3 linked regions of the Rattus norvegicus genome follow. Each later gene encodes a partner of the first gene's protein in a complex. Links are inferred from orthologs where the notes say so. Each region holds a gene or a part of one and is shown on either strand. Other genes may lie near its edges.

The links.
Region 2: the proteins of Agk (region 1) and Timm10 are in contact, whole or in part, in a cryo-EM structure (PDB 7CGP), measured with the Homo sapiens proteins. The link is inferred for Rattus norvegicus from reciprocal best matches to the Homo sapiens genes AGK and TIMM10. Residues at the interface, in NP_060708.1 of Homo sapiens: Phe49, Gly50, Asn51, Gln52, Leu53, Ile54, Pro55, Pro56, Val60, Ser91, Gly92, Met93, Asp94, Val95; in NP_036588.1 of Homo sapiens: Glu40, Glu42, Leu43, Ser44, Lys45, Gly46, Ser48, Arg53.
Region 3: Agk (region 1) and Timm22 share a complex: the UniProt entries of both Homo sapiens proteins name them as parts of the TIM22 complex. The link is inferred for Rattus norvegicus from reciprocal best matches to the Homo sapiens genes AGK and TIMM22.

The regions. Positions count from the first base shown.
Region 1 is NC_086022.1:70,080,170-70,084,545, reverse strand, and holds the start of Agk (acylglycerol kinase, mitochondrial), read right to left. Parts: upstream 2,890-4,376; 5' UTR 2,841-2,889; intron 2,834-2,840; exon of another isoform or gene 2,638-2,833; intron 212-2,637; exon of another isoform or gene 190-211; intron 1-189. UniProt on the Homo sapiens protein: Lipid kinase that can phosphorylate both monoacylglycerol and diacylglycerol to form lysophosphatidic acid (LPA) and phosphatidic acid (PA), respectively. Does not phosphorylate sphingosine. Phosphorylates ceramide.
Region 2 is NC_086021.1:90,313,624-90,318,279, reverse strand, and holds the start of Timm10 (mitochondrial import inner membrane translocase subunit Tim10), read right to left. Parts: upstream 3,142-4,656; 5' UTR 2,577-3,141; coding exon 2,506-2,576; intron 90-2,505; coding exon 1-89.
Region 3 is NC_086028.1:61,750,046-61,754,749, forward strand, and holds the start of Timm22 (mitochondrial import inner membrane translocase subunit Tim22), read left to right. Parts: upstream 1-1,640; 5' UTR 1,641-1,652; coding exon 1,653-1,884; intron 1,885-4,189; coding exon 4,190-4,386; intron 4,387-4,704. UniProt on the Homo sapiens protein: Essential core component of the TIM22 complex, a complex that mediates the import and insertion of multi-pass transmembrane proteins into the mitochondrial inner membrane. In the TIM22 complex, it constitutes the voltage-activated and signal-gated channel.

The sequences.
Region 1 (4,376 bases):
CTGACCCTAATCACTTATTCAAGAGGTCTTTAATAGACAACATCTACTCTGTGTTAAGGGCTAGGGCACGGAAGAGTAAGTACCACTCTCAAATGCTCATGAATCTTAGCATCCCTGACTGCAATACGGCCATACAAGCAAAGTTGCAACACAGTAAGATGCATGCTGGGAAATGAGGACAGGATCTACCTTGAGTCCAGAAAAATGGGCCTAACTGGGATGGACCTGAAGGAGCCAGAGAGAGTCAGGGAATTCTCAGAATCCTGCAGATTAGGAGAAGTCACAGCGTAAAGGAGTTAGGTATATGCTATGGCCTCAACAACTGTTTCCAAAACTTGAAAGTGACTGCCCTAATTCCTACTGAAATGGTATTAGGATGTAAAAGTAATGGGGTCGGAAGGATATTGTCCTCATGAATGGGATTAGCACCCCTCTGAGAAGAGACACCAGCATCCAGCTCCATCAGCAGACACAGCAATGAAATAGCCATTTGCAAACTAGGAAGAGTGCACAATACTCTGTGCCAACCATCTTGGGTTCATACTTCCAGTTTGCAGGCTGTGAGAAATAATTTTTTGTTATTTAAGCCACTCCAATTACAGCAACCTGAACTAAGAACCACACAAAGTCTCTGTGTGTGTGTGTGTGTGTGTGTGTGTGTGTGTGTGTGTGTTTTCCAGGTAGGCAGTAAACGGAAGAAGTAACTTCTCTTCCCACCCATTACTAAGAATCTTATTTTAAAAAAGACATATTAACAAGGAAAAAGCACATACATCTATTTGGTGTGAGTTTTCATGACACAGAACTTTCAGAACTAAATCTGTGTGTGTGGTCAATGTGCTAAAGAACAGAAAGTTCTACATAAACATGACTGAACATGGTGCTAAGACTTAAAGACCAGCAAGGTTTGTTTGCTCGGGTTCTTCTGTGTCCCTTCACCTTAAGAAATAAAAGTACTATTTCCTGCATGCATATACAGGCCCCTCTAACGTGAGAGCTTAGTCTGCTTCCGGTTAGAACAGCAACAACTTCCTGCTCCTACTGTTTCCTCAACTGCCAATGTACTACTTGGGAATAACTATGCCCACCAATAGACTATACATACAAGATAGGATCTAGAACAGTGGTTCTCAGCCCTGGTGTCCTTATTAAACCTTATTTAAAGTGCAAAAAAAAAATTGTTGTAAATGTATATTCTTGGGCATTATCTCCCTTCCCCCAAAGCCTACATTGTTCTTGAACTGAGTAGTCATTTTATTTTTAGCTAGCAGTTACTACCATGATTGCAACAGAGGTTGCAAACATACCAGACATTAAAAAAAAAAAACAGTAGTTTAAAGATGAACAATGGGGTCAGAGGAAAGTAGAGATTTGAAAAGGCTTTTAATCCACACTAAGGGCTTTAGATAGTATGTTGAAGACAATAAAAAACAAAAAAAAACAAAAAACGAGATTTATTTTTTAGCAGATGAATAACATATAAAACATCCCGTCAGAACCAGAACATAAAGCTAAAAAGAGCCATTAGAGGGGTGGCTGCCATAAATTCTAGACAAGAGTCAACAAAAGATGTGGAGGTCTTTATAAAACAGAAATGGGCAGCGCTTGGTGACCAACTGATTACAAGAGGTGAAGGATGAGGAAACAAGCCAAGTTTTGTGCTTGGGCAACGGATTGTTAGGTGATCTCCAGGTTTTGGATTTATACTGTTGGTTTGTGGGAAAACACAGTGTGCAGTCAAGGAGACTCGAGACTGTTATACCTGCCGGGCACACTCCGAGACTGTTATACCTGCCGGGCACACTCAAATGAAGCCCAAACAGATGTCTGGACTTAGCGTTTTGGAAATAGGAGAAGTTGAACCCAAGGGATAGAATTGGGATTCGTGCCTGTGAGGTAATGTATGAGAGTTGTTAGCATCACGTAAACGGAAAGCAGCAGGGAAAGAATACTGCTAAGCACACTCCCAGTCGACTATTTTTTTAAAAAGCCACGCCCACCCCGTGCAACTCCCTTTTCATCTTAAATGATTCCTATATTACTAAAAGATGAGGGAAATATGCAGGCAGCCTAGAGTGCAAAGAGGACTGGTCCAGGTGCCTAACAAAACCCTAGCTTTGTCATTTACAGATGGTGAGACCCTGGATAAGTCAACTAACCTTTTCACTAGAGAAATAAGGAAACACCATCAATTTATGCAGTGAAGAGATTGTCAATAAAATCTGTACGTTTTTCTGTATTTCATAATATGTACTACATTCAGTGTATGTTCCCTTCTCAGTAGCCAGAATTTTCATTCTCATTAATGTCAGTAAAAAATCTCAATTTTATGTCTACATTAACGTATCTTTGCCTTCCAAGCGGGCTCTCCCAAAACCCATAAGCTCCCAAATTCTAACTTCTGACCCTCTCCTGACAAGGAAGGTAGGGCTTTTTCACTCAATGAGATCTCCTTGGGACAGGTTCTAGCCATTCACATCTGCAGAACCGAATAAATAGAATGAATGAACCGACCCGCTTTCTATGGTTCAAATATTGCTGGCCCCATTTTTGTTCCGGTACCCACAGCCTAAGGTGGGAAGGGAGGAACTGAGGGGTTCACAGTTAGGCACTGCTCTGAGACTCGAACCAGCACACCTGACTCACAGGGACCACGGGCGTGCGCGCCACGCCGGCCCGGCCCAATCTTTCCTCCTCCCGCCGCGCTGCGGTCAACAACCGCGTGGCCGATCCCGGGACCGCTGGCGGGTTCCGGCCCTGCTCAGCGTAGCAACCCACGGCTGCGCCCCATACCCTGACCACACACAGCCAGCGGCCCTCGCTCGCTCCCCTGAACTCACCGCTGCCCGCCGCTCAGCGTCCGGCCTTTCCTGTGTGCTCTCACAAAAATCTCCCTCTCTTTTAAAGGAAACCGCTCCCGCTGCCCTCGGGTTCCGACGCGGAACAGCCCCAGCCTGGCAGGGCGAGCTCTCCCGTGACCTAGGGGTGGGCTCGCAGCAGCCACCGCCCTCCCTTCCTTTTCTTGTCACTTTACTGTTCATTCAATCTTTCATCCATCCATCTCTCGCCAGCCAATTGTTTCTGGAAAGTTCACAGTATATAATAAGAACAGTTTTGCGATTTGGAACTAAATCAGAAAGTAATTAAACGGCTACGACAATTTTAGATATTGGTAAATGAAACAAAACAAAACCGAGCTATAGGGCATGTGGTGAGGGGCACTGTATGAAATTAACCAGCGGAAGTTTGAGCTCCCCAGAGCAGGAAGAAGATCAAGTCAGAATGCACTGAAAAGAAGGGTGGGGGTGGGGAAATCAGGCACAAAATCACAGAATTTTTAGGCCTGTTGCCGGAGGCAGAGAGAGCTATGGAAAAAGAGAGCCATGAAGCAGGAGAGGCCACAAGGTGTTGAACACTAGGGGGGGAGGGGGTGTCTTACTAAAATATAAAAATTGCTGGGCTGGAGATGAAGGGCGGGTGCAGGGAAGCTTCCTGCTTTTCCCGTACAAAGACTTTTTATCTTGCCACCTCTCACTGCCAGGGAGATGTCAACAAAACAAAACAGGTTTTGCTGCAAAGAGGACTGGTAAAGGTCTGTCTTGAAATGGAAACATTTGCTCAGTGGAAACATCTTCAAATGGGAGCTCGCCTGAGATGTCACGAGATCGGACCCATTAACTTTTGATCCCTAGGGGCCCACCTCTTCCACAATTAACGGTTACTGGAAGGGCTCCAGAAGGGCTAGGAGTGTTGAAGGGGACAAGAACTACTTCACTGGTATTGCCTCCTATGAGTTGTTCACGTTCCTGTAGGTAATCCCTCACTCATGCTGCCATATGTAACCCCAATCAAATTCATTGATTCCCAAATCTAGACTTTAGTGGAATCATTTCTTTGGGGGCTGTCCCTGTCACACTATCTGGAGAGAAAAGACATTTATTTGCTGCTGTCTCCCTAGGGAAACTGAACAGGAAATAAATTTATTCTGAGCCAAGTATGAAGGGCCATGGTTTCGGAACACGGATTCAAGTTATCCAGAATGACATGTTCCACCATGGAAGAGGTGAGTTGAACATGTATGAGTCAGAGAATAGAATACAGCCGTGAATCAATTTAAGATGTCGAGAAGGCAGGTTACAGCAAGGCAGAGTAATCTCCATCGTAGGTTTCAGACACCGTGTGATGGATAACCTTCTTAGATTTGGGCGGGTGGAAGTTTACAGCCATTCCTAAAGTTTGACCTAGTAGTCACGAAGACGAGTTAGGTAGAGAGCTTGGTATGAATGGCTATTCCAGGTAAGAAAGGAGAAATTCGACTATCCACCTGTGACATTCCGTCTCTCCACTGTCATGAAGTTCTAATCAGTCTACTGGTC
Region 2 (4,656 bases), on another chromosome or scaffold:
ATCGGTCCAGACACACAGACTCGCCTTTGGACAGCTCTGCCTCCTTGTAGTGGGGAGGCACGCACTTCCGGTGGCAGGCACTGGTCATTCTGGGTTAGAGAAGAACAAGGTTGTATCAGTAACTTCCTACAGCATCCCGGGAACCTTCAACAATTCCAACCCTGCTGGACTGATTCTTGTCTGGTTCCTCCCTCAAGAAAACAGTAGAGGGCTGGAGAGACGGCTCAGCGGTTAGAGCACTGACTGCTCTTCCAGAGGTCCTGAGTTCAAATCCCAGCAACCACATGGTGGCTCACAGCCATCTGTAATGAGAGCTGATGCCTTCTTCTCCTGTGTCTCGTGTGTCTGAAGAAAGCTACAGTGTATATATTAAATAAATAAACCTAAAAAAAGAAAAGAAACTTTTCTTCAACCAGTTTGGAAGGTTCTTCCAATAAGAATCTTCTCTGAGTCATGTACAAGACTAGTTAAAGCAGAAGCACTTGCTGAATACTGGCTGTGTGCCAGCCATCATGCTAAGGGCTAATACAGACTCTGTTAGGCAACCCTCACAGTAGCCCAGTGGGGTAGGCACAATCATTATCCCCACTTTACAGATGAGGAAATTAAGACACAGCTCAGTAATTTGCTAAATATCACACAAAGCTAGGTAGTCTGACTGCACAGTCTGCATTTTAAAAACCATTCTAATTTATAGTCTCAAAAACAAACCAATCAATGAAAAGAGCTGCTGACAAAAACCAGCAGATACCTGCTGTTTCCTGTATGATATGCTAGATGATAAAGTATAATACTGTAATGTCTGTATGGCATAGCACCTCTTATGCCAGTTTTACTGATGAGATAAGCAATTATGAGACATTCAGCAGTGACTGGCATACCAGGATGCTTCCAAATTGGCCTAACAGCTACAAGCAGTAGTTGTGAAGTCAGCCTCAAGTTCTGGCCTGACATTGTTGCTGACCAGCTACAAAACCTGAGATTAGTAAACCCCTTAATACCTCAATTCCCCTATGTTAAAATGGTACTAATAAAATTAACCCACTGCTCTTCTTTCCTTCCTTCCTTCCTTCCTTCCTTCCTTCCTTCCTTCCTCTCTTTCTCTCTTTCTCTCTCTCTCTCTCTCTTTCTTTCTTTCTCTCTTTCTTTCTTTCTTTCTTTCTTTCATTCATTCATTCATTCAACTATTTGGCTTTGGCCTCCATCTCTGAGTATAGGCACCCACCATGCCGAGATCAAACCAAGGGCTTCCTACATTCTAGACAAACATCCTATGTTCCACCCCATTCTCCCTTTGAATTATTTTTAAGTATTTACAAAAATGACAATGGGGGTCTGGAAAGTAGTTAAGAGAACTTACTGTTTTGCAGAGGACCTGGGTTTGGTTCCCAGCACCCACATGGCAGCTCACAACTATCTTTGACTCCAGTTCCAGGAGATATGATGCCCTCTACTGGCCTCTGAGGGCATGTGATGCACATGTATATACACATGCAAGCAAAACATACATACATATAAAACAAATAAATTAAAAAAATTTAAAGTGGGGGTTGGGGATTTAGCTCAGTGGTAGAGCGCTTGCCTAGGAAGCACAAGGCCTTGGGTTCGGTCCCCAGCTCCGAAAAAAAGAACCAAAAAAAAAAAAAATTTTAAAGTGACAATGTATATAAAATGCTTTGCAAGTGCCTAACACAGAGATAAAGTTTAATAAGGATCAAGTGCACACACTTTTAATCCCAGCACCCAAGAGACAGAGACAGATCTCTGGGAGTGAGACCAACCTGCTCTATACAGATCAAGCCAACAACCAGGGCAACACGGAGACGCCCTATCTTGAAAAACAAGAACAAAAACGCTCACCCCACCTCTCCCCCAAAAAGGAAGAAAAAAATTAATAAGTACTAGCTACTAAATACTATTAACTACTAAATGACTGTTCAGATGGCTCAGGAGGCAAAGGCCCTTGCTGCCAAACCAGAAGATCTGAGTTCAATCCAAGATGGAATCCTAGTAAGTTGTCCTTTGACCTCCACATGTGAGCTGCTATAGCATGCATGTTGGCATTCATAAATAAACACAAAATACAGAAGCAAAGGTAATAAAATGGGCTATTAGAAAATAAAAGAGGGGTTGGAGATTTAGCTCAGTGGTAGAGCGCTTGCCTAGCAAGCACAAGGCCCTGGGTTCGGTCCCCAGCTCCAAAAAAAAGAAAAGAAAAGAAAAGAAAGAAAAGGCAGTGCTTACTTGTACTTGATACTCAGCAGAGCCTGAGCAGGAGACTTTCCTTCACACCCCTTTTACTCCCTCTAAATAGCCAACCAAGTCCTTCCAGTGACCTGTCTTTACTTCAGCCAAGCCCGCAGTAATGGTGGGACGGGATTAGGAGGTTGGGACTTGGCTCTACTACCTTAGGGAAAGCATTCCTTACAAGTCCTTCACTCTATCGCGGTAGGGGTGACGAGGGCTAGTTTTCTGGACAAGGTGAATCGGAGTGGTTCTCTTTACCTGTTGTACATGTCGGCCATCATCTCCACCTCCAGCTCCGCTGCCAGTTGCTGGGCTCTGAGCGGATCCATGTCAACTTAGCACCGTGGAGAAAATAGCCTCCTGGTCTTTAGTCCTGGGAGCGTACATGATAAGTCAGCACCGACCCCTCCACATTCACTCTAATACCCACCCAGGGGCTGGAGGGCGCGAGGGGTTACAGCGTTTCAGACCAGCAGGGACCAGTACCCTAAGAAAACGTAGTCAGCCCTCTTACCAGAAGTGGAAATGAGGCCCTTAAAGGGGACAGTGTCCAGTTCAAGGTCACTCAAGATGTCATGGGGCTCGGAGCTGGAAACCGAGAGCTCTCAGTATCTCGAAATCACTCCTAGCCAGAGGACCGACATTAGGGGCAGAGCACACAAAACCCTGGGCCTGAACCCACGCAGCCCCGAGAATGTGACCCTAACCACAACATAGGTTCCCAGGGCCGGTCTAAAGGCTGCGCCTCTGTCATGGCAATGGCATAATCAGGGTCAGCCTGGGGATCAGATACCATGGCTCACTCACCACGGCCTGGGGTAGGTCACAGCTCCCGCAACGCCCCCAACTTCGGGTCAATAGTAAAAAGTTAACCGGGTACCAAGATAGGCGAAATAAGAAGCACGTGGGTCACTTCCGGAAGGAAGTCTAACCTCTTCTTTGATCCGGAAGAAAACGCAAACCAGGCGGCTCTGGGAAACCGGCTACCATAGAGAGGAGCCACTGGCTGAAGAGAAACCTACTTCAATTTGCTAGAGTGGACTCCAAAGTATCATAGAGTGCGGAGTCAATGGCAGAGCGCCGACAGCCTTGTTAGCGTTCCATCCCTCTGGTTGTCCGGGAGACTTCTGAGTGTTTGGAGTGTGGAAAAGGCTTGGCTCCCTGAGCCTACCATGGAGAGCCCACGCCTGAGCGCAGACGGATCTTTTGTGAAGAAGGGAGAACGTTTCCCAAAGGAGCCTGTCAGTTTTGCATGTTAAAACCACCTGGAGCACTTTTTTAAAAACCTCAACGCCCAGACGTTACCTCATACTCGTGAAATCAGAGTCCCAGGGAGTAGGACCCAGACTTTAGTAAATGAACAAACTGCGTTAACTGGTGGGGTTGCAGAAAGAAGGATACAAAATCGCTGCTCGCAGAAAAAGGAAACATGTATAGAGGTCTTCTGTGCTTGCTTTTGAGATAGGGTCTCATGGAACCCAGGCTCTCTAATTTGCGGTGTAGCCGAAGATGACCTAGAACTTATTTCCTGCCTCAACCTCACTAGGGCTGCGGTTACAGATGAGCGCCGTTATGCCTGAACTTTGCAGTGCTGGGATGGAAGTAGGACCACATGCTACAGGCAAGCGCTCTACCAACTGCCCCAGCGCTGCAGCATGTTTTACTGCACTTCTTTATCATAGCCATACACATGCACAATAAATAAAAAAATAAATGTAACAATAAGAATTATTGGCTTTATCCTTCTCTTTTTCTTTCTTTCTTTCTTTCTTTTTTTTTTTTTTTTCTAGGCAAGCACTCTACCTAACTGAGCTAAATCCCCAACCCCTTGGCTTTATCTCCTTTTTTGGTTCTTTTTTTCGGCGCTGGGGACCGAACCCAGGGCCTTGCGGCTTTATCCTTTAAAACTATTTTTATTAGGGCAAATCTGCAACACACAGAGAACACAGTCTAATGAACTTCATTGGTGATTTGGTACAGTGTGAGATGATCTGGGCCAGAGAGTCATCAGTGAAAGCAAGGAGAAATGATGAGGAACACCAAGATTTAATATTTTTTTAAAGATTTATTTATTTATTATAAGTACACTGTTGCTGTCTTCAGATACATCAGAAGAGGGCATCAGATCCCATTACAGATGGTTGTGAGCCACCATGTGGTTGCTGGGATTTGAACTCAGGACCTCTGGAAGAGCAGTCAATACTCTCAACCACTGAGCCATCTCTCCAGCCCCAATTTAATAATTCTTGATATTTAGTCGCATTTTCTTGATCTATTCTTGTCTTTAGCAGATGAAGTCTTTTTTCCAAAGTGCTATTTTCACATTCTCAGCTAATAGTGATTTTTTTCATCTCTCTTCCACGGTGCTGAAGGAATTGTAAGCAAACACTCAATAACTGAACTATACAG
Region 3 (4,704 bases), on another chromosome or scaffold:
TTGGGGATTTGGCTCAGTGGTAGAGCGCTTGACTAGGAAGCGCAAGGTCCTGGGTTCGGTCCCCAGCCCCGGAAAAAAAAAAAAAAAAAAAACAAAACAAAACAAAAAACAACTCTCCGGCAATGTTGGCATATAGGAAATGTGATCCAGGAATATTGGACCACTCACCAGAAACAGGCTAGAATCTGAGGATCTGTCACTGAGCAGCCCAGAAAATCTTTTCTTCTCAATGAGGAAATCACAGATCCACTACTAAGGCCAGGATCAAAAAGAAGATGTAATAGGAGCAACATTTTCTAACACTTGGCCATTGACTGAGGTACAAGAATGGCATCTAGAAATAGGATGGTTGGTGATCAACGCCTTTGATCCCAGCACTCAGAGGCAAAGCAAGGCAGACCTCTGAGTTTGAGGCCAGCCCGGTCTACAGAGTGAGTTCCCCAAGAAGCCAGGGCTACACAGGGAACCCCTGCTTCAAACAAACAAACAAACAAACAAACAAACAAGGATGGCATCTAGAAAGAAATGAGTTTCAAAAAGTTCAAACTTAGCTCTCTAACACTAAAAACCACAAAGCATTAACGATTCCAAGTTGCCTGGTGTAGTGGCACACGCCTTCGATCCCAACACTCTGGAGGCAGGCAGATCTCTCCAAGTGCACCACCACACCCGGCAACTACCAGCCATGGGGTTTGACATCTTCCATTGTTACCATAGTCGTATGCCATTAGTACCCTATGCAATACTCTGTACTTGGTCTCTCTCTCTCTCTCTCTCTCTCTCCTCTCCTCTCCTCTCCTCTTCTCTTCTCTTCTCTTCTCTCTCTCTCTCTCTCTCTCTCTCTCTCTCTCTCTCTCTCTCTCTCTCTCTCTCTCTCTCTCTCTCTCTCTCTCTCCTTAATGGTTTCTCTGTGGAGCCCCAGCTGCCCTGGAACTCACTCTGTAGACTAGTAGGCTGGCTTCAAACTCAAGAGATCTGCCTGTCTGGGCTTTAAGGCGTGCTAGACCACCACTCACATTTGTTGGCCTTCTTTATTCTTCCTTAAAGGCTTAATAAATATGTAATAAAATGCTTTTTGAACACATTTATGTCATGTTTCAACACTTTCATACAAAGGGCGTACATTCGATCTCAGAATGTAAACCAGTCTGTGGTTCTAGTGACTGTAGTAGCTGGAGCTCTGCTTTATGGCCTGGCAACAAAGCGGACACGTGCGTCCCCTGCTGCAAGTTCGACGAACTGCAGCCTAACAGGATCCGACTTCTCTTCGGCCGCTTCTCAGACGAGCTTTCAAAGGAAGTAGCAAAGCCAGCGAGTGCGCACGGCTTTCTGGGAAATACAGTTGGACATTCGAATTAGAACTACAAATCCCGGCACGCACCGCAATGGAGCCCCTAGTTGAGGGGTGTTCTTGAGCTACTAAACCTTGTCAGAGTTTTTAGCAATGCCTTACAAACTTGGTTCACTGTTTAAAGAGGCGTTGAGGAAACGTGATAGCTTCCTCGACGCTGATGCAAAGGCTGACTCTTGCTTCTACAGCTTCCTCAGTGTGGCGAATCTGCCGTTGTCGTTAGGCTGGCCGGACTCCTCGGTTAGCATGTGGAATCGGCTGTGGGAAATACGACGTGAAAGGTACTAGAGCCCGTACAGTCATGGCGGCCGCCAAGGCTGGGGCTTCAGCTCCTGAGGCGGCGGGTTCCGCCGAAGCTCCGTTGCAGTACAGCCTTCTTCTTCAGCACCTGGTGGGCGACAAGCGTCAGCCACGGCTTCTGGAGCCTGGCAGTCTGGGCGGGATCCCGAGTCCTGCCAAGAGCGAGGAGCAGAAGATGATCGAGAGGGCGATGGAAAGTTGCGCCTTCAAGGCTGTGCTGGCCTGTGTGGGAGGTGAGGCGAGGCTTGTGGGACCCTTGGGAGGCTGAGGGCTTGGAGAACTTTAAGGTTCCTTGCTAAGACCACGCGCCTGGGAGGCGAGGAACCTGTGCATCTCGACCTTGATCGCTCCCGGGCTGGCTGACTCCTTGAACCCGGAGATGCCGCTCTTGACCCTGAGATTAACATTCACAGTCAGGGTCTGCAGGTTCCTAAATTGTTGCTTTCTTTTCTTCGTTTTATTCGTTCGTTCGTTCGTTCGTTCGTTCGTTCGTTCATTCATTAAGTTGTTACTATGTAACGGTCAGGTGCCCGGCAGAAGGAATATGGATGAAAGCGACAGGAGCCCTGAAGGAGAATATTAGGACGCAAAGAGAAGAATGCTGTAGAGTTGCAAATGCAAAGGTCCTCAAGGCAGGAGTTTGGAGTTTGGAAATTATTACTGGGTGATGGTGGCCCAAGCCTTTAACCCCAGCACTGGGAGTGGTGGTGGTGGGCAGAGACAGACAGACAGGGAGGACTACATAGAGACACCCTGTCTCAGAATTAAAAAAAAACAAAAACAAAAACAAAAACAAAAAACAGCGAAGGCCAGTGTGATTAGTCGGGGTGAGGCTGGGATGGATGTTAACAACACACACACACACACACACACACACACACACACACACACACATACACATATTAATCTTCCAGGGTTTGAGAATGTACAGCATACTTATAGTGTACAGGTAAAAAGGTTGTTTATTTGTAGATGAGTTTAAATTTCGTTAAGAATGAAGAACATTTTAAAAATACAGGAGTTCAAATCTTAAATAGTGGGGAGGAAGAGGCAGTCAGATCTCAAGAGTTCCAGGTCAGCCTAGTCTATAGAGTGAATTCCAGGAAAGTCAGGGCTACATAATAGAGAAACTGATTCTTTTTTTTTTTTTTAAGACTTATTTATTTGATGTATATGGATACACTGTAGTTGTCTTCAGACACACCAGAAGAGGGCATCAGATCTCATTATAGATGGTAGTGAGCCACCATGTGGTTGCTGGGAATTGAACTCAGGACCTCTGGAAGAACAGTCAGTGCTCTTAACCACTGAGCCATCTCTCCAGCCCTGAGAAACTAATTCAAAAACCAAAACAACCAGGCTGGAGAGATGACTCAGTGGTTAAGAGTATGGACTGCTCTTCCAAAGGTCTGAGTTCAACTCCCAGCAACCACAGGGTGTCTCACAACCATCTGTAATGGGATCTGATGCCCTCTTCTGGTGTGTCTGCTACAGTGTACTCATATACATAAAATAAATAAATAAATAAATATTTAAAAAATCAAAACAAACAAATAAGTAGAAAGAAGAGATAGAGTTTTGGAGCTGAAGTGATTAGAAAGCAAGACCAGGAGAGGAGGGGTCTAGCTTCATTGAGCTTACATTGATCTTGAGGTGATCATCTTGAAAAGACATCATACAGAAATGGCTGGGGAGAAAGCCCAGTTGGTAAAGTGCTTATCATGCAAACATGAAGGTCTGAGTTCAGAACCCAGCATCTATGTAAAAAAGCCAGGTATGGCTGGGTGAGGCTATGGGGCCTTTAAGCCCAGCACTGGAGAGGAAGAGGCAGGATAGCCAGGGCTGTTACACAGAGAGACCCTGTCTTAGAAAACAAACAAACAAACAACAACAACAAAAAGAAATTGGTGGGTAATTCCTGAGGAATGGCACCCACTCTGGCCTACACTCACAGACAAAAGAAGGCTCAGACAAGGCATTTGTTGACAGAAACATAGGATTCCATGTTTAATATTCATGTGACTCTGAAGACAGTTACTTAACCTCTCCAGGGTTTGGTTTAGAGAGGCAGGGTGGATGGTGGTTTCAGAACCTTTAATCCAAGCTCTTGGGAAGCAAAGGCAAATGAACCTCTGGAGTTGGAGCTTGCCTGTTCTACAGTGTCAGGTTCGAGGCCAGCGGGATTATGTAGTGAGGCCCTCAAACAGAAAAGCCAGGAAGGGGAGATAGTAACATCTACCTCACAAGTTACTATGAAAAATAAGGAATATTCCAGAGTAGCGGGGACATGATGCTTCCTTACTGAGTGACTGTATGAGTGTTGTTACAGGTCATATACAACGTTGGTAGCTGAAGAACAGGGTTAAAGCTGAAAGGCATAAATCCTAGAGGAGTTGTGGGGGTAGACTCCGACTGTACTGTGAGGAAAGCCGGATCAGGACCGAGTGCCAAGAGACCAGAAAGGCCATCTTCAGTTACCATCCCCAAATGGTAAACTAGAGAATGTGCAAAAGAACTCTTATCTCTGCTTACCTCTAGGATTTGTCTTGGGAGGCGCATTTGGTGTCTTTACTGCTGGCATTGATACCAACGTGGGCTTTGACCCCAAGGACCCTTACCGGACACCAACTGCAAGAGAAGTCCTGAAGGACATGGGACAGAGAGGAATGTCCTATGCCAAAAATTTTGCCATTGTGGGTGCCATGTTTTCCTGTACTGAGTGTCTGGTAGAGTCTGTAAGTGCCTCTTGCTTCTTAAGAAAGCTCTTCCTGTTGCCCTTGTACACTTTTTAATTATCTTTTTTTTTTTTAAATCATTTAAAAACGCTTGGGTGTGTGTGTGTGTGTGTGTGTGTGTGTGTGTGTGTGTGTGTGTGTGTGAATGTGAATGTGAATGTGAATGTTTTACCTGCTATGTATGTGCATCATGCGTGTACCTGGGGCCTGAGGATGCCAGAGGAGCGTATCTGGTCTCTTAGGACTGGAGTTACAGACAGTTGCTAGCTGCCATGTAAGTCTAGAGAATTGAACCAGGGTCTTTCTGGGAGAAAAGCC